4 linked regions of the Callithrix jacchus genome follow. The protein of the gene in region 3 purifies or fractionates together with the protein of the main gene of each other region. This does not show direct contact. Links are inferred from orthologs where the notes say so. Each region holds a gene or a part of one and is shown on either strand. Other genes may lie near its edges.

What was found.
Region 1: the proteins of COPS6 (region 3) and UBE2M purify together in Homo sapiens (affinity purification with mass spectrometry; 3 studies listed by BioGRID and IntAct, counting the BioPlex papers as one, with this or other methods). This does not show direct contact. The link is inferred for Callithrix jacchus from reciprocal best matches to the Homo sapiens genes COPS6 and UBE2M.
Region 2: the proteins of COPS6 (region 3) and DCAF11 purify together in Homo sapiens (affinity purification with mass spectrometry; 6 studies listed by BioGRID and IntAct, counting the BioPlex papers as one, with this or other methods). This does not show direct contact. The link is inferred for Callithrix jacchus from reciprocal best matches to the Homo sapiens genes COPS6 and DCAF11.
Region 4: the proteins of COPS6 (region 3) and KLHL18 purify together in Homo sapiens (affinity purification with mass spectrometry; 3 studies listed by BioGRID and IntAct, with this or other methods). This does not show direct contact. The link is inferred for Callithrix jacchus from reciprocal best matches to the Homo sapiens genes COPS6 and KLHL18.

Annotation. Positions count from the first base shown.
Region 1 is NC_133523.1:51,191,320-51,195,944, forward strand, and holds UBE2M (NEDD8-conjugating enzyme Ubc12), read right to left. Parts: upstream 3,317-4,625; 5' UTR 3,114-3,316; coding exon 3,005-3,113; intron 1,922-3,004; coding exon 1,827-1,921; intron 1,699-1,826; coding exon 1,660-1,698; intron 1,559-1,659; coding exon 1,455-1,558; intron 1,148-1,454; coding exon 1,084-1,147; intron 1,002-1,083; coding exon 861-1,001; 3' UTR 483-860; downstream 1-482.
Region 2 is NC_133509.1:58,421,365-58,426,324, forward strand, and holds the start of DCAF11 (DDB1- and CUL4-associated factor 11), read left to right. Parts: upstream 1-1,644; 5' UTR 1,645-1,694; exon of another isoform or gene 1,695-1,986; intron 1,987-2,072; 5' UTR 2,073-2,160; intron 2,161-2,252; 5' UTR 2,253-2,462; coding exon 2,463-2,617; intron 2,618-3,680; coding exon 3,681-3,808; intron 3,809-4,027; coding exon 4,028-4,155; intron 4,156-4,427; coding exon 4,428-4,492; intron 4,493-4,960. UniProt on the Homo sapiens protein: May function as a substrate receptor for CUL4-DDB1 E3 ubiquitin-protein ligase complex.
Region 3 is NC_133503.1:13,492,787-13,497,449, reverse strand, and holds the start of COPS6 (COP9 signalosome complex subunit 6), read left to right. Parts: upstream 1-1,476; 5' UTR 1,477-1,489; coding exon 1,490-1,556; intron 1,557-1,778; coding exon 1,779-1,904; intron 1,905-2,097; coding exon 2,098-2,229; intron 2,230-2,876; coding exon 2,877-2,965; intron 2,966-3,065; coding exon 3,066-3,128; intron 3,129-3,379; coding exon 3,380-3,427; intron 3,428-3,515; coding exon 3,516-3,630; intron 3,631-3,715; coding exon 3,716-3,808; intron 3,809-3,908; coding exon 3,909-4,009; intron 4,010-4,139; coding exon 4,140-4,280; 3' UTR 4,281-4,663. UniProt on the Homo sapiens protein: Component of the COP9 signalosome complex (CSN), a complex involved in various cellular and developmental processes.
Region 4 is NC_133516.1:29,940,500-29,945,309, forward strand, and holds the start of KLHL18 (kelch-like protein 18), read left to right. Parts: upstream 1-1,494; 5' UTR 1,495-1,516; coding exon 1,517-1,645; intron 1,646-4,810. Other genes in the region: kinesin-like protein KIF9, read right to left, coding at 880-1,142. UniProt on the Homo sapiens protein: Substrate-specific adapter of a BCR (BTB-CUL3-RBX1) E3 ubiquitin-protein ligase complex required for mitotic progression and cytokinesis.

The sequences.
Region 1 (4,625 bases), on a different chromosome or scaffold from region 3:
CCCGTCCGAGTGACCCAAGCCAGTACCAGGGTGGGCGCTCAGGCGAAGGTGGTGCATCTTTGGCCGATTTCCACCCAGTCTACACCTGAGGACCCAGCTTATCCGTAAGACCCCGACTTCTGCCTGAGGTTTCAGATAGAAGAGCCACAGGAGGCTTCTCCTCCTCGGTGGGCCCACCCATACAAGAAAGGGGCAGAGCTAGAGATGGCTTGCCCTTCCACTGTGCCGGCCTCTTGGCCAGGAAGCCAGAGACCACTGGATCCTGACTACGCTTCTCATCCTAGAGTGGGCTTCATCCCAACCAACCCCAGGCTCAGGCCTGGTAACCCCACCAACTCCAGAGCTGCCCAGGCACTGGGCATTCTGTTGTAGGGTGCTCCAATGCCACCTGTTAATACACGTTCCACCACCCCCCAGCTTTGCAGACCCTAGTGGACCGCAGCTGCCCCCTCCAACCCCATAGAAGTAAGAAGCAGAGGCCATGCAGTAACATTCCCCTTTAATAGCCTGGTGGGACCTCCAGAGGTGGAGGGGTGGGTTGCCTGGGCCCAGCTACCCAGGCCCCTTGCCCACCCACTCCACAGCCCAGAGTGGGGGCTGAACAAACACCCAGCAGGGGGCTAGACAAGCCAATTCATTTCCCATTGCTGAGTGGGTCGGGGGAGGCAACACCGACCTTAATCACATGGTGGTTTAAAAAAAAAAAACAAACTAGGGGCAGGTAGCAGGAAGGGGAGGCAAGGCCAAGGCAGGGAATTCCCCCACCGGCTGCCCCCCAACCCCCTGCCGGTGGCCCCCAATAAATATTTGCAGGGGACGCCACGGCTTGTGGCCGTGGCGGGGGTGGGTGTGCGCCAACCCTATTTCAGGCAGCGCTCGAAGTAGGTGGAGCCGATGTAGCCACCCCGCATGGAACGCTGCACGTTCTGCTCAAACAGCCGCCGGTTGTTCTGCAGGACCTCTGCGGCCTCCTTGTTCAGTGGGTCCTCGGGGTTGGGCTCCTGTGGCCAGTACAGGTGGGGTCAACAGGCCAGAGAGACAGAAGACCGATCTCCCCAAACCCAACCACCTATTCCTACTCACCAAGAAGAGATACTGCAGGCCATAAATTATGGAGTTTACCGTAAGGACTGGCTTCCAGTCCTCTCTGTGGACAGAGAGCATCAGGGTCAGGGCTTGGTGAGTGGGAGATTGCCATAGGCCCCTCTGATATTGGACAGGTCAGATCCAGGGCATAGGAGAGTGAGGATGTGGGAGACTGGGAGGGAGGGTGTGGAGCAGGCCAGGACAGGGAGAAAACCAAGGTCAGGCCATGAGGAAGATGACTGGGAAATGAAGAAACCACAGACAACAAAGGGGTGGGTAGGCACAGAGACTGATGTAGTGCCCAGAAGACCATGAGGGGGGTATGACAGGCAGGGCTGGGGAAGGCAGTAGAGGGCCAGTGCCCTCACCTGAGGATGTTGAGGCAGACGTTGCCCTCGAGGTCAATGTTGGGATGATAGACCATTGTCTCACACTTCACCTTGGGGGGATCATGCGGATAACCCTGGCCCACCTGGTTCCAGGAAAAGAAAAGGGAGATGGATTGGTGCCTGGAAGGGCCTCAGCTGCTGCCTCCTCAGTCCAGGCAGCCATCCCTGCCCACCTGGGACTCACCTTAAAACTGAACACAAACTTCCCACTCTTGTAGAAGCCCTGGGAGGGAAAGGGGGAGAAGAAGATTTTAGGGTTCAATCCTGTGGGGCCTGACAGAACATGTCTCCGTCCTCTCAGTGGGGACACTCTTGATCTGCTTCTGTGAATCCAGCCATATGCACCCTCACCTCATCAGGACAGATGACCAGCTTGAAGTTGAGGAGGTCGTCTGGATCTGAGAAGCTGATATCACACGTCTTGGGCAGGTTCAGCTCGTTTATGTCTGGGTTTGGGCAGCAGAGAGTTGGGGAAAGAAAGGGGGAGGGAGAAAGAGGGAGGGGGAAAAAGTGACAAAGAGGGAGACAGCAGGACACTTAGGGCAGGTGTTGTCAGCACAGCCCCTATGGCCTCCTCCTGGACCCCCAAGCCTCTGTCCTGGGCTGTGCTCCACACCTCCAGCCCTCTCCCTTCTCCTGTTTGGCTCTTGTGGATATATGGCATACCCCAAACAGGTATGTTCAGTCTGCGTGTCCCAACTCCTGGCCCAGGGTAAACGCCCAATTTTCTGCATCCATAGCTCCCAAATGCTCCCGCTCCAAATATCCTCTGACCACCCTGAATCCCAGGCTCCCCATCCAAGATGTTCCTACCTGTCCACCCAAAGTCAAGGGTCCTGCCTACCCTCACCAATTTTCAGTCCTCACTGTCCTTTTTCTCTGAGAGAGAAAAAGGCCTTCTTCCCACCTGACCCCCACACTCTCAAGTCCCCAAACCCTCATCACCCTAGCCCACTCCCTCTGACTCCGAGGTTCACAGCACAATAGGCTAAATTTCTTCTCACCCCTGTCTCCAATCCCTGGTAGTCACTAACCTTCTCTCCACCACCTGTCACCCCATACCCCAAATTGCTGTGACTCTGAGGCCCATGAGTTTCGGGTCCTCCAACCTAGTCCACCCGTCTGACTCTTGAGATACACGGAGTCTTCTCCCATTCATATCCCCAGCCCCTGGCCTCTACTATCCCTCTCTCCTCCTGTCATCCCAAACCCAAGTTCCCGTCTAACCCCCAGACTCTCGAGTCCCCAGCTCCTCCACTCCACTGCCTGACTCTGAGATTCCGGGTCCCTCGTACCAGACACAGGCCTTCCTAATATCCTAAACCACCACACACTGGGCCCCTATCTCTGACCCCCCTCCCCGTGACTGCATGACCCCAACCCTCAAGACCTGACCTCCGACCCGCTACACTAGGGGCCCTCCACCTCTGACCCTCGGCGATCGCATGATCCCCTCCTGACGCCCACATCACCCAGCCTCAGGCCCTGAACTCCGACTCTGGCTCCAGCCCCATCCCCTGACCCCCTACCCTTCTGGATCCGCAGCTGCGCCGCCGACGCCTTCTTGCTGCTGCCCTTGGTGCCGCCTGCCGACTCCTCCTCCTTCTTCTGCTGCTTCAGCGAGAACAGCTTGATCATCCTGCCGCCGCCGCCGCCGCTGCCGCCGCCGCGGGGCCCGGGACCCCGGCCACCCGGCCTCCCGCCGCCGCCCGCGTCGCCTCTGCTCCTCGGACCCGCCGCTGCGGCCTCCGCGGCTCTCGCCACCCGCCCGGCCTGCCGCGCCGCTCTGCTCTGCTCCGCGCCCACCGCGCGGCCCGACTCGGCTCCCGTAGTCCGGCTCTGGCCTGGCCTGGAGTCTCGGGCTCGAACGGCAGCGCTCGGCCAAACTCGGGTGTTCTCGGGCCGCCCGGCCCCGCCCCTATCGCCCCCGGCTGCTCCTTCCTTGCCCTCGCCCGCTCTGGTCTCAGGCCCCGCCGCAGCTGCGGACTCTGGTTTCCCCCGGCCGCGCCGTTTGGCCGCTCAGCTGATCCGTCCGCGAGGGAGCTGCGGCTCGGGGTGGGAGGAGGACGGGGCAGCCGCGGTGACGGGGGCTGAGTACTGAAGGATCGGTTTCCGCGGCAGCAGCGGCTTTAGCGCGGAGGTCGGTAACGGCCTCGGGCGCCCCGCCGCTTCGGATATTTCCGCCGCCTGTCCGCTTTGGGTCTTCCCGCCCGGCCTGCGTTGTGCGCCTGCGCAGCCGCGGCAAACTCGCGTTGCTCAGGGATGGAGTTTGGGGTTCGGCCTCCTTCGGCTGGATTCGGGTATTTCCGTTCTTGGAGTTGACGCTTCGGCTGCCCGGCGGGTCACTTCCGGTGACTCTAGCGGGGTCGGGCAGGAAGTGTGGTTAGCCGCCATCTTTGAGTGGGGCAGACGTGGGGTGTTTCGCTCGCGGTCACTTCATCCTATGTTGTACTTGTGCAGAGCGCGGCGCGGGTGGGTCAGAGCCTTTGACCCCATGGGTCACAGACAAAGGCAGGGTGATCGCGGCGAGACTCTGAGTGAGACTAGAGGCGTTACCCAGAGGGTGCGAGGTCGAGCACCTTCATTGTCCCATCGCAAACCCAAAGATCCCAGTTCCTGGAGATTCTGATTGAGGTAAACTAACAAAACATGTATTGTGCCAGATGGTGGTAAGCACTCTGGAGGGTTAAGGTGGTGTAGAGGAAGACCTGTCGGGCTGGACACTTGGGGAACGCGATGTGGGGGCGGAGCCGGGCAGCTCTGGGAGTGGGCCCCCAATTCCAGCAGAGACGCACTGCGGTCTCACGGCTTTCAACCCACTATCTGAAAAAGGGGATATAGGCGGGAGTCAGCTTCCCATCCAATCGCAGCTCAGTGTGTCTGGGAGGGCGGGAGGAAACAGAACCCTGCGGGTCAGCCACTTCCGCCGTCACCACGGAAACCATCGTGCTCGCGAGCGCTTGGTGTGGTGGCACTTGCCTGCGGAGGGGCCCAGGCGCCACCCCTCTGATTCTGCAGCTCCTCGCCCAGGAGTGGTCTCTGGCCAAGGGTGGCTTGTCTGCTTTCCCTGAGGCCACGCCTCCAGCCTTGTGGGTTGGGGTGACTAGAAGCAGCAGGGGAAAGTCTGGCTGCACCCCTGGAAGAAGCTTG
Region 2 (4,960 bases), on a different chromosome or scaffold from region 3:
TTCGCTCTTGTAGAGCCGGCTGGAATGCAGTTGCATGATCTCGGCTCACCTCCGCCTGCCTGCTGGGTTCGATTCTTCTGCCTCAGCCTCCCGAGGAGGTGGGATTACAGGAGTGCGCCACCACTCCCTGCTTTTTTTTTTTTTTTTTTTTTTTAAAGTAGAGACGGGCCGGTCAGGCTGGTCTGGTCTCGAACCCCTGACCTCAGGCGAATCACCCGTTTCGACCTCCCAAAATGCTGTGATTACAGGCGTGAGAGTCACCACGCCTGGCCAATTTTTTAAAAGATGATTCTGTCACATTCTGAGAGAATGGAAGTGAAATCAATCAATAAATAAAGATTCCGATTTTCCAGGCTGGATAACCCAGAAACCACGGTATCCTAAAGTCTCAATAAACCTTAAGGCACGGAAAGTGAGTTATCCGGCAATACGTGATGGGCGCCCGCCTACATAATCAGTGGGGCCAAGCGCAAGATGAAAATGCCCGGCACTTGCTTTAAAATTATTAAGAATTTCAAGACCGTTAACAGTAGAACATTAAACCAAGCATTATAGATGCTTCCAAGCATACGGATGCAGAGTCCATCAAGGCTAGTCCTGGTGACAGGCTCAGGTCTCGGGGTCTGGAGACCAGGAGACGTCGCTCGAAAGCTGGCCAAACCCTCGCCCTCACTGAGAGAGGCCCCAGAAGGGACCAAGAAGGCAAAGAGCCCATCGATGCCCTCAGGAGCGGGCGGAGGGACGCTCGCAGCTTTCCCAAGGGAGTGCAGGCTGCGGGGACTGAAGTTCAGCTCGGATCCTGAGCCTCTGAGCGCGGGACAACAAGGTCGTTCAACCCACATGCCTCCCCACCCAGCGTGGCCGAGGATCACAGATGTGGCAATTCCCGGCCTTGGACTCAGGCTTGTTACTCAACCACCGGCGGGTGGGGACAGGAGGCAGCGCGAGCACCCTGGACCCGCGGCCGGGGGCGGAGAGGCACCGCAAGGACACAGGGTCTAGGGAAGGTCTGCAACTCGCGGAGGGCCAAGGAAGCGTCTAAGGGGACTGCCGGAACCGGAAAAGCTGTGAGAGAACAACGCGAATACTAGGGAGCGTCTGCAAAGACCGCAGCGGAAAGCCAGGGATTGTCTAAAAAGTTGCCGGAGCGGTTAAAGGGAGGTCTAAAATGGGGCAGTCCCAAGAACAAGGCTTCCAAAAGCTAAGCCAGGAAGGAAGGTGTGGAAGCCTACTGGGACGCCGAGCACCCCTGAGGACAGGACTGGAGCTGCAGCCGACGACAGGAGAACGGCTCTAGCTGGACGGAGGAAAAAGTGGGGAGAAAGGAGGGGAGGCCTTGGGCACTGTCTGAAAAGTGCCCAAATGATTTTTAGGGACAGACAGTAAGTTGTATCCCTTGCTAAAATATCTCTCGGTAGTGAACCACCAATTTTTTTAACCCCTGCCTTTCAGCTATTACGTCTAGTTCGGCTGTCTCTGATCCAAGAAGCTGCCAGTTCCCACTTACTCCTCCCCAACAAGGGCGAAAGGCCCGCCTCCGGTGCGCACTTTCTCCTCCCCTCAGGCCCCTGGCGCATTCTCTCGCCTATCTATCAATCACGGCGCTCCGCTGTCCAGTTGGCTGGCCAAGGGGGCGGGACCGTCGTGTGACGTTTGCAGCCCGCCGGCCAGGAAGCCGCGAGATGTGTGACGAGGTAGGCTCGTGACGGAGGAGCGGTTGGCCAACGCAGCGGCGGCAGTTGGTGTAAACAAGGCCTCGCGCCACTGCGGGTCCTGCGACCGCTCCTGGCTGGTGGGTGGTCTCCCGGGGGGCGGTAACTGCCGGCTTCAGTGGGAGGTGCTTCTCGGCTTCCTACCCCTCTTGGCTTACACACCCCCGGCGCACCACGTGGGCGTGAGGCAAGGAAGAAGGGGGGGTAGGCCAAATTTTATTTTCATTGGCTGTCACTGCTGCCGGCTTTCCTAAGGAAGCGCTCTGATTGGTCGGTAAGAGGGGGCGTCGAGGGTCTTTAAGTCTTAAGGCTTCTAATTGGTTAGATGAGATAAGCTAGTGGTGCTCATTCTTTCTCGAGGGGCTTCGATTGGTCTGTCAGAGAGGTTACCTGGGAATCCAACACCGCCCAACAACCCTTCCGCTCCCCAGTCCTGGGACTTTAATAGGTGAGTTTGGTGTAGAAAACTGAGAAATCTTTCTCAAATTGGTGAGGTAGGGTGACGCCCTTCGCTTCACTCTCTCTTTCTTTGCTTCACAGGATTGGAGAAGGTTTGTGTTCCCGACGCCTTGGTAGTTGGCATAGGCTAAAGAAAAGGGATCTCAGCCCCGAGGAAGGGTCACCCTCCTGGAGATAGCTACCCCATCTCAGGAGACCCTGGTATTTCTAGAGCACGCTTTGCTTTCACCAAACCCAAGGAGGTGACAGGAGGAGCCCCCGCACAGAACCTAAGAATGCTGTGACCAAAAGATGGGATCACGGAACAGCAGCAGTGCGGGATCCGGGTCCGGAGACCCCTCCGAGGGTTTGTCCCGAAGAGGGGCTGGCCTTCGTCGGAGTGAGGAAGAGGAAGAAGAGGATGAAGATGTGGATCTGGCCCAGGTACTGGCCTATCTCCTCCGCAGGTAACTTACCCTCTGGTGTGACCTCACCAGGTGCTACCACGGTCCCTTGATCCCAACTCCAGGCAGGAAAATTACAGAGGTTAGGAAATGGGATTTGCCCAGAACAGCCGTTCTGTTTGAGCAGAACAGCCTTTCCCTATTGGGCACCCATGGCACACAGCTCCATATCCAGTAAGAGTGGGTCTTACCTAAGGAGGGTCACCAAGAGGACCTGCTCATGTGTTTGAGGGACTATTCAAGGGAGCCTCTCTCGCTGTGACTAAACAAATATAATCTATTTTCCAAGTAAGTTTAAAACAAAATGGGGCCTGGAGGGAAAGGAGTGATGTAAGGGGTGAAGAGATGGGAAGGGAGTGTTGAACTTTTTAGTAAGGCATTGACGCGTGATGTGAGGCCACTTTGATTACTTGAAAAACAAGTTTAAATTGCCCTGACCTGTTCTTGAGGAAAGAGTACCTTGAAGGGAGCGACCACCTGGAATTGACTGGAAGAGTGCAGCTAGCTTTGTTTCTTTCCTTATGGCTATTTGGGGAGAAGATGAGCATGGGGGTCCCTTCTGAATATTGTAGTCTTTTTTGTTTGTTTGTGTTTTGTTTTGTTTTCAGTAGACATAGACAGGATCTCACTGTGTTCCCCAGTCTGGAGAGCAGGCTATTCACAGGTGTGATCACAGTGCACACCACATCCTGGGCTCAAGCATTCCTTGCCTCCCAGGTAGCTAAGACTACAGTTGCACACGCCACTGCTCCCAGCTTAGAATATTGTGTTCTGTGGTGGACTTCTCAGGCAGAGGCTCAGAAGGAAACACTGTGAGAATGTTTAGCTCGTTGGGAGGTCAACTTAGTAGGTAATGTCCACAGCGTGTTGCTTTTGCTCTTGTTCTAAAAGTAAGACTCACTTTCTTACTGTGTTTTATAGGAAACTGAAAATAATAGCCAAGGTCTAGTCAGCCTGAAACCTCAAAATGAGTACCAAGTGGTCTAAGAGCTAGATAGCCATTGACTCTGAATTTGTTGGTTTGGGGGAAGAAGTCCCCTCCTTTATACTGGGGGTCTCTCCACAGAGGCCAAGTGAGGTTGGTGCAGGGAGGAGGTGCAGCAAATTTACAATTCATTCAGGCCCTCTTGGACTCAGAGGAAGAGAATGACAGAGCTTGGGATGGTCGTCTTGGGGACCGATACAACCCACCTGGTAAGAGGAAAAGGCCCTAATGTTGGAAGACTTTTACTAGAAAACCTATTAGTGATACTTTGAATAATAGATTACATTAAAAGAAGGTGCAATAATTTAGGGAATAAGGAAGTCCTTATAACCCCGGTATATTCAGCCACAGGGGTGGGCTTGGGTACAGTTCTGCTAACTATCCTCTGAGGCTGAAAGACCTAGGATGAAACTTCTTGGTACTCACAGTGGATGCCACCCCTGACACCCGGGAGCTGGAATGCAATGAGATCAAGACACAAGTGGAATTGGCCACAGGGCAGCTGGGGCTTAGGCGGGCAGCCCAGGAACACAGCTTCCCTCGAATGTTGCACCAGGTAGGCCTCTCCACCTCCCAGCCTGGCAGCAGGACTACCAAAGCAGCCAGAAGCTCTGCCAGCCCCAGAGAAAAAGAAAGTAAACTTTTCAAGGAAGTCTCAAGGGCTAGTGCTGGAGAGTTAACTAGCTTCCATCAGAGTTCTATGGGACAGACCATGGTGTGTTGTGTCTATTTCTATAACAAGAGCAATATCCTTGGTGGAGGGGGCTTGATACGGCTGAAGTGGCCCTCTGTTTCTGCTAGCAATATTCCCTAATCCCTTCCATTTAGAGAGAACGGGGCCTCTGCCACCGGGGAAGCTTCTCCCTTGGAGAACAGTCTCGAGTGATATCTCAGTGAGTATGGGGCTTGGTGAAGAGACTCTAAGGGCCAGATAAGTCTTATCTCCTAAAGTTTGAAGGGGTTGGTGTTAAAAGAGCCTTGAAGATATTAAAGTTTAGGTTAAATGGGGTTGAAACTTTGAGAGTAAACAAACTGGAAAAGTATAGAAATGTAAAGGATGCCGGGCGCGGTGGCTCACGCCTATAATCCCAGCACTTTGGGAGGCCGAGGTGGGTGGATCACGAGGTCAAGAGATCGAGACCATCCTGGTCAGCAAGGTGAAACCCCGTCTCTACTAAAAATACAAAAATTAGCTTGGCATGGTGGTGCATGCCTGTAGTCCCAGCTACTTGGGAGGCTGAGGCAGGAGAATTGCCTGAACCCAGGAGGCGGAGGTTGCGGTGAGCCGAGATCACGCCATTGCACTCCAGCCTGGGTAACGAGCGAAACTCCGTCTCAGAAAAAAAAAGAAATTTAAAGGA
Region 3 (4,663 bases):
TGGTGGCTCACGCCTATAATCTCAGTGTTTTAGGAGGCCGAGGATGGAGGATTGCTTGTGCCCGGGAACTGGGGGCCAGCCTGCACAACCTAGCGAGACCCCCGTCTCTGACCAAAATTAAAAAATAGGCCGGGCACGGTGGCTCATGCCTATAATCCCAGCACTTTGGGAGGCCGAGGCAGGTGGATCACGAGGTCAAGAGATCGAGACCATGCTGGTCAACAAGGTGAAACATCTCTACTAAAAACACGGCCGGGCGCAGTGGCTCAAGCTTGTAATCCCAGCACTTTGGGAGGCCGAGGTGGGTGGATCAGGAGGTCAAGAGATCGAGACCATCCTGGTCAACATGGTGAAACCCCGTCTCTACTAAAAATACTTTAAAAATTAGCTGGGCATGGTGGCGCGTGCCTGTAATCCCAGGTACTCAGGAGTACCTCAGGAGGCTGAGGCAGGAGAATTGCCTGAACCCAGGAGGCGGAGGTTGTGGTGGGCCGAGACTGTGCCATTGCACTTCAGTCTGGGTAACAGTGAAACTCCGTCTCAAAATAAATAAATAAATAATAATAAAATCAGCTGGGTGTGGTGGGGCGCACCTGTAGTCCGAACTACTTGGGAGGCTGAGGTGGGAGGATCACTTGAGCCCAGGAGTCTGAGGCTGCAATGAGCTGAGATGAGACCATTGCACTCCGGCCTGGAAGATGGAGTGAGATCCTGTCTCAAACAAACAACAAAACCAGACATGAGGGCCAGTGCCGCTGAAGCGTGAATATCAAGGGCTAGAAAAGTAGAGGTCAGGCCAGGGCAGTTCAGGCAGGGCCTTGCAGAGTGTGGTCGGTTGTTTGGATTTTACTGTGAGGGCAGTAACACGACATTTCATTCATTCTGCAACAGCCTTAAGAACTAAGCGTTTTTGGCTAAGCCCGGTGGCTCACGCCTGTAATCTCAGCACTTTGGGAGGCCGAGGCGGGGATCACGAGGTCACGAGAGAGAGGCCATCCTGGCTAACACGGTGAAACCCAGTCTCTACTAAAAATACCAAAGATTAGCCAGACGTGGTGGTGTGCGCCTGTAGTCCCAGCTACTAGCGAGGCTAAGACAGGAGAACTGCTTGAACCCGGCAGGCGGAGGTTGCAGTGAGCTGAGATCGCGCCACTGCATTCCAGCCTGGGCAACAGAGTGAGACTCCGTCTCAAAAAAAAAAAAAAAAAAAGAACTAGGCATTCTTATCTCAATTTTACAGATGAGGACTATCAAGCCGTTAAGTAATTTGTCAAACGTTACCCGCAGGCGTCAGGAGGGGACAAGGTCTGCGAAAACCCGCGAGGGCGTCGGGATCCCTTAGCCAGAAAACCGTCAACCAAGCCAGTGAACTACCTACTCCTGGGACTCCTGGCCCGCCGCGCGCCGCGGGGACACTGAACATGCGCCTCTCACCTTACGGAAGCCGGGAAGGAAGGGGGCGGGGCCGAGGCCGGCGGGCGCGAGGAAAATGGCGGCGGCAGCTGCAGCTGCGAACGGGACCGGAGGGAGCAGCGGGATGGAGGTGGATGCAGCAGGTAACGGGCTGTGTGGGGGTGGCTTCCAGAGACCTCCTTCAGGGGTGCGTTGAGGCCTCCCTGTGCTCCCAGAAGAAGGGAGGAGGGCGGAACAGCAACATCTTTCCCTGGGATAAGTTGCGGGAGGGAAGTGTGGCCGGGCTCCGTCGTCCCCCACTGCCGTCTCCAGGGAAGGACGTGGGGCCCGGACTCTCACCCTCTCTACTTTCCCTCCACCCTTAGTAGTCCCCAGCGTGATGGCCTCCGGAGTGACTGGGAGTGTATCCGTCGCTCTCCATCCCCTTGTCATTCTCAACATCTCAGACCACTGGATCCGCATGCGCTCCCAGGAGGGGCGGCCTGTGCAGGGTGAGTGTTGGGCATAGCCTCCAGTCTCCTCTCCTTGCTTACCTCCCCCAGTCGTCTTTCCCTTTTTTTACTGGAGCCAGTTCCCCCTCCCTCAAGTCATCGTTTCCCCAGTACTTGGCTCCCACTGACCTCAGACCCTTAGGTGATAGAAGTTTCCTTACCCTCACCTTTTCCATGTCATTCTCTTTCCTAGTGATTGGGGCTCTGATTGGGAAGCAGGAGGGCCGAAATATCGAGGTGATGAACTCCTTTGAGCTGCTGTCCCACACGGTGGAAGAGAAGATTATCATTGACAAGGAATATTATTACACCAAGGAAGAGCAGTGTGAGCGGAATAGACGTGGGGAAGAGGAGTGGGAGTTAAAAAAAAAAGTACAGGGTGGGGAAGATGGAGAAGGTTGGAAATAAACAGGAGAGGAGGCCAAGAACAGAGAAGAAAAGGTTAAGAGAATTGCTGGAGAGATCTCAGAAAAAGAACACATTAAGAGTTCTTTCCCAAAAAGAAAGTAAAGGATAAAAGACAGGATAGAAGGGAGTAATTACTCTAAACTGAGCCAGGATTTGAGGAGCGGGGAGAGAAGCTGGTGAAAATACACCAGGAGCTTCACACAGAGGAAAGATGGCTTAAAGTATTACTATGTCAGGCTGGGCATGGACGGTGGCTCACGCCTGTAATCCTAGCACTTTGGGAGACCGAGACAGGCAGATTATGAGGTCAGAAGTTTAAGACTAGCCTGGCCAACATAGTGAAACCCCATCTCTACTAAAAATACAAAAATTAGCCGCATGTGGTGATGTGCATCTGTAGTCCCAGCTACTCAGGAGGCCGAGGCAGGAGAATCGCTTGAACCTGGGAAGCGGAGGTCGTGGTGAGCCAAGATTGCGCCACTGCACTCCAGCCTGGGCAACAGAACAACTCTGTCTCAAAATAATAATAATAATTACTATGTGTTTTGGTCCCTTCCCCTTCAGTTAAACAGGTGTTCAAGGAGCTGGAATTTCTGGGTTGGTATACCACAGGGGGGCCACCTGACCCCTCGGACATCCACGTCCACAAGCAGGTATACATCTCACACCTGTGCATGCTGAAGCAGAGAATGGGGGATGAGGGGAAGGAGAAAGGGGGGCACTGACTTCCTGTGCATCGTCCCTCTCATTCAGGTGTGTGAGATCATTGAGAGCCCCCTCTTTCTGAAGTTGAACCCTATGACCAAGCACACAGATGTAAGTAATATCCCATGCCTACTGTGTCATAATTGTTGCTGTACCTTTTGTTGTGTGACGGTGTATTGGGGAATGCCAAATGCCACTTATCTGCTGTGACTCTGGCTTAGTCATTTAATCTCCAAACTGTGTGAAATGAGGTAATCCCTACTTCATTGGTTTCTAGGGAAAATTAGCTGAGAGGAAATGTGTGAAATCGACTAGCCCCAATGTTGGCAGATAGTATTCAGGTTTCTCCATCTCCTCCACAGCTTCCTGTCAGCGTTTTTGAGTCTGTCATTGATATAATCAACGGAGAGGTAAAACCCTACCCTTCAACCCTCACATCCTGCTCTTGTCCTCTTTCCTGCTTTTGATTCTCCCTTTGTGGGTTACCTTGCCCTGTAGGCCACAATGCTGTTTGCTGAGCTGACCTACACTCTGGCCACAGAGGAAGCGGAACGCATTGGTGTAGACCACGTGGCCCGAATGACAGCAACAGGCAGTGGAGAGAACTCCACCGGTAACGGAGGGGATTCCTTGGAAGTGGGGGTGGAATGTGTGGCCACATCCTGTCCCAACCTCCTCCTGTCTCCATCCCCTTGCAGTGGCTGAACACCTGATAGCACAGCACAGTGCCATCAAGATGCTGCACAGCCGCGTCAAGCTCATCTTGGAGTACGTCAAGGCCTCTGAAGCAGGTAGGTCAAGGGCTTCCCTGACACTTCCCTGGGGTTCTTCCTCTCCCTTCTGGGGAAGTGACAGCATCCAAATTAATGCAGCCTCTTTTTGTGCCTTTAGGAGAGGTCCCCTTTAATCATGAGATCCTGCGGGAGGCCTATGCTCTGTGTCATTGCCTCCCAGTGCTCAGCACAGACAAGTTCAAGACAGACTTTTATGATGTGAGTGTAAAACCCAGATGGGGAGGTGGGGCTTATGCTGTCACTTTCACATGCAGGACTGGGGACTGTTGTTCCCTGGGCATGCCACAAGAGATCCCCTGAAGAACTGGTCCTTTATGTTCCCTCCCAGCAATGCAATGATGTGGGGCTCATGGCCTACCTCGGCACCATCACTAAAACGTGCAACACCATGAACCAGTTTGTGAACAAGTTCAACGTCCTCTACGACCGACAAGGCATTGGCAGGCGAATGCGCGGGCTCTTTTTCTGATGCGGGTACTTGAAGGGATGATGGACAGGGGTCAGGCAACTGTCCCAAAGCGGGGGGGCACTAGAAACCGCTGTCATTTATTAATAAAAGGGGGAATAGCCCCTGAGCACCCCTGCCGGTGGCTCTGTCCTCTCTGTTAGGCACCACACTGGTTTGTCAACTTGGATGTTCGTCAAAGCTCATTCCAGCCTTGCTCACAAGCCCTTCTGATGTTCTTCAATGACGGAGGCACTGCCACTTTAAGTGACTGCGTGTCAACCACATGGACCGTCTTTAGTGTCCAAGGCTGCCTGCTTCCAACTAAGCAGTCTCTGTTCTATACTTTAATGTCACCCTCGACATCATCTTATATAGCCCAACCCTATAAACAAATGTGACAACTG
Region 4 (4,810 bases), on a different chromosome or scaffold from region 3:
GCTGGAGTGCAGTGGCACAATATGGCTCACCGCAGCCTTCATCTCCTTGATTCAAGTGATCCTCCCACTTCAGCCCCCCAAGCAGCCAGAACTACAGGCGTGCACCACTGGAAAATTTTTGTATTTTTTGCAGAGACAAGGTTTCCCCATGTTATCTAGGCTGGTCTTGAGCTCAAGCAATCCGCCCACCTCGGCCTCCCAAAGCCATGATTACAGGCGTGAGCCACTGCCCCCTTTCTCCCTCGGGACCTTGTGGGAAATGCCTCTCCTTGGGGAACCACCCTTTGATATTTGTTATAACAAAGCAAGTCTCTGAATGGCCACCAGGAAACTTCTGTGTTAAGACGCTCGAGGTTGCTTCATTTGTTTTGAGTGCGAAGGAACAGAACTGGCAACAAGCACCCACGAAGGCTCGACAAGAGAAAGGGAACGTTTGGTGGGGCGGTAGCTGCCAGATGGGTCCTATCTTCCAGTGCTCCCATACAGATCAGGGGCTGTCATGGGGAACCCTCATAGCTACCGTAGTGGCAGCAGCAACACCCGAACCCCAAACACTGGGTCCAGTTGCACCTGGCCTTGGCTGAACAAGACTGGGACTCAGGCAAAACTGGCCTTTCTCCTTTTCCTCACTCAATGTGCCGAACCCCCGCATGGAGCCTGGGGGGCAATAACCCTTGGACCCATTCCGCTCTCTCGGGAGCGGTTTCCTAATCTGTAAAGAGTAGGGCTCGGACTGGTGATCCCAAAACCCCCTCTAGTTCGAAAACCGACTAGTGCAGAAGAGTCCAGACGACCTCCGGCTCCCTGCCTCAAGGCTTCAATACCCTGGGCGCGATGTGGGACTCCTTTGTGGGACCAATGAACATTAGTTCTGAATACCGTAAGTCGTGGCCAGGCTGAAAGGACTCCCACGATGTCTCGCCCTCCTTCGCCTGGGTTTCAGAGATGAGCGACCCAAGCCGGAAACCTCCAGATAGAGTGGTGTTTGGACTCCAGCCACGGTCTCCCGTCGCCCCACTCCCACCGGCGCGCAGCCCCTGCTCACCGTTTACCAGGCAGCGACGCTCCCGGGATGCGAAGCTGCAACCGAAGCCACCTGCACTCCCCACGCGGGGCTGGCTGGCTGTGTACACGGTCGCCATGGCAACGGGTCGCTTCCGGGGATTCCGGAAGTGTCGAGAGTGGCGGAAATGAAGTCCGAGGTCCTACGTCGAGGATATGGGTGAGGTCATGGCCGAATTGGGAAGACGAGAGATGAGGCCGATTGATCTAGAAAGAACTCGGCAGATGCATGCGCGAAGCGAAGGTCGGGGTAGCGAAGGAACGAAGGCTGCACATGAACCAGGAAGCGGGGCGGCGGGGCTTCCGGCGCCGAGGAGTTTTAACTACGGCGGCCGCGGAGGCCCGTTCGATTGCTCCTCCGCGCTCGGAGCTGCTGGCGGCGTGCGCGCGCGCCCCGCCCTGGTTAGTGAGTAGCCGGCCGGCGAGGCCTGCGCAGTTGCGGCGGCCGGGGAAGATGGTGGAGGACGGTGCGGAGGAGCTGGAGGATCTGGTGCACTTCTCGGTGTCCGAGTTGCCTAGTCGCGGCTACGGAGTCATGGAGGAGATCCGGCGGCAAGGCAAGCTGTGCGACGTGACCCTCAAGGTACCGCGGGCTGGGCGGCAGCGGGCTGAGGTGAAAGGGGTCGAGCGGGCAGTAAAAAGGGGTGGGGGACAGGGAAAGAGAGGTCAGCAGGGAGAGGCGTGGGGAGTAGAGGTTTGAGGGGGCCGAGTAGTGGGGAGAGAGGTGCCGAGCAGGAGAACGGGATAGGGGCTGAGTGGGGAGAGGAAGAGGACAGACAGCCTTTCAGCCCTTGGAAGGAAAGGTTGAGAGGTGCGCCGCTTAGGCCCTCGGAGTGGGAGACATTGGGGTGACAGCCTCCCTTTTCTGTCATACAGACAAGAGAAAATGGACTTACCTTCTGTGGAGGCAGGGGCGGTGGCGGCCCCACGTGCTGATGGGCACCACTGAAGCATCTTTTCTTGTCACCACAGAAATTTCTTTGTGCCTCTTGAAGTTGGCTATGCTGTTGTAGAGGAGAAGCCTACTCCTTAGGAATCATTGCCAGCCCTTAATTTTTGAATTACTGCTTTGTCTCTTAAGAGTTTTAAAAATCTGATCTGGAAATTTTTTGAGGTGGGAAGCCACCCTGCCCCACACTTGAAGGCACCACTCACCACCAACCACCACAACCACCACCATCACAAAGGTTCCTGGGGCTGGGCCTCTTGGCTGCATGGGGAGAGGGATGCTGACTGACATTAAGAGGGAAAGATATCTTAACAACCTGTTCCCCACCAGCATCCTGGCCGCAAGAGCCAGCCTCCCTCCTGTGCCTGCGTCCTTTCATGTGGAAGAGGCGTACTGTGTTGCTCCCTAGCCAAGCCACCGAACTATGTTGAGCCGTCCGGTTGGGGAAGTAATGAGTGGGGCTCCCCGTTGGGCTTTGGCTGGAAAGCGCTCAGCATCTGTGGGTGATCCCTGTTTAAAAAACAAGCAGGCCAGGCATGGTGGCTCACACCTGTAATCCCAGCACTTTGAGAGGTGAGAGGATCACTTGAGCAGGGGAGCTGGAGACCAGCCTGGGCTATGTAGGGAGACCCTTTCTCTACAGATAAAAAATTGGCTGCGCATGGTGGCCTGTGTCTATAGTCCCAGATATCAGGAGACTGAGGTGGGAGGATCACTTGAGCCTAGAAGGTGAAGCCTGCGGTGAGCTGTAATTGCCCACTGCACTTCAGCCTGGGCAACAGAGCAAGACCCTATTTCTCCGATTTCTCTCTCTCATTTCTCCTATTTCTCTCTCTCTCTCTCTCTCACACACACACACACACACACACACACACAGAGAGAGAGAGAGAGAGAGAGAGAGAGAGAGAGAACAAAACTATGCAGAGATCCTTTTGTTCTTAGGTTCTTTTTTTTGAGATGGAGTCTGGCTCTGTCGCCCAGGCTACAGTGGGGCAATCTCGACTCACTACAGCCTCCCTCTCCTGGGTTCAAGTGATACTCCTGCCTCAGCCTCCCCACTACACATACCACCACACCTGGCTAATTTTTTGTATTTATAGTAGAGATGGGGTTTAACCGTGCCCAGGCTGGTCTTGAACTCCTGAGCTCCAACAATCCGCCCACCTCAGCCTCCCAAAGTGCCAGGATTACAGGAATGAGCCACCACGCCTGGCCTGCTCTTCTTATTTTCTACATGGTGAGGGAAACTTATCTTCTTCCACATGTTTGAGTCACACTTCTAGAGATGGTAGAGTAGGATGGTTGAGTATGGCTTTGAAGCCAGAAGGATTTGGATTAAAATCCTAGTTGTAACCTTGGGCAGGTTACTTAATCTCTGTAAGCCTACGTTTTCCAAATGTAAAAATAGGGATGATTTTGAATTCACAGCATTAGTGTGAAGATTAGATGAGAAAATTTGTGGTGCTCTTTGCGTTATACCTGGCAAAATGTTTTCATCTTTTTTTTTTCTTCTGAGACAGAGTCTCACTGTGTCACCAGGCTGGAGTGTAGTGGCACGATCTCGGCTCCCTGCAACCTCTACCTCCTAGGTTTAAGTGATTCTCCTGCCTCAGCCGCCCAGGTAACTGGGACTACAGGCGCCCACAACCACGCCCAGCTAATTTTTTTTTTTTTTTGTATTTTTAGTAGAGACAGGGTTTCAGTATGTTGGCCAGGCTGGTTTTGAACTTCTGACCTCGTGATCCCCTCCTTGACCTCCCAGAGTGCTAGGATTACAGGCATGAGTCACTGCGCCCGGCCCTTTTCATCATTCTAAACCCCTCCTGAAGGAGTTTGTTTTTCCAGGAGAGGAGTGAAGTGACCTGAGAAAGGGCAAGATCTTCTCAGATGGGAAAAGGAACCAAGCAAACTGAGAAAAATGAGCTGGACTAAAGAAGACAGAGGAAGTAAAAGTAAATGAGAAGATTTTGTCCACAGTGATTACATGGTGGAAGATGTTAAGGCTGCTAGAGATTTGTAAGCAGAAAAATGATCTAATTGTGTAGTAACACTTGGTGTAAATAGAGACTAGTGAAAAGCAGTAATAGGGGAGAATTTTTAGATTAAAATTTAGGCTGTAGGCTGGGCACTGTGGCTCACGCCTGTAACCCCAGCACTTTGGGAGGCTGAGGCAGGTGGATTACTTTCAACTCAGGAGTTTGAGACCAGCTTGGGCAACATGGTGAAACCCCGTTTTTACAGATAAAAATTTAGCTGTAGTGGTGTGTACCTTTAGTCTTAGCTACTCAGGAGGCTGAGGTGGGAGGATCACTTGAGCTTGGAAGGTAGCCTGAGCAACAGAGTGAGACCCTGTCTCAAAAAAAAAAAAAAAAAAAATCAGACATAGTTCCAACTGAAAGGGTCAGTCTGAATTGCTGTTAGTTTCAAGGATCTAGAACATAAGGACCAATATATATATATTTTTTCTTTTTTTCCTCTCTCTTTAAGAAAAAGCCTCCAGTGGGAAGGACTAGTATAAAGGCATGGGCTAGAACTGGACGGGACTGTAGACAGCATTTATTTTACTGATTTTGAAAACTATATTGTAAAGCCCAGGGGTTAGCTCCGAAGCAATATGATGATGGGACTGGGGAAAGGGCACGCAAACCAGGCTCTGCACATTTCACTACTTGCCACCAGAGCTGCTCTGGGAAATCTGTTTTGTCTCTCTTTCTTCAGTCTTTCTTCAGTTTTCTGGTGACTACACAGTGTTTTTCAAATAAACAGACACTGAAAAGCTGGTTGGAAGCTTTTTGGTGT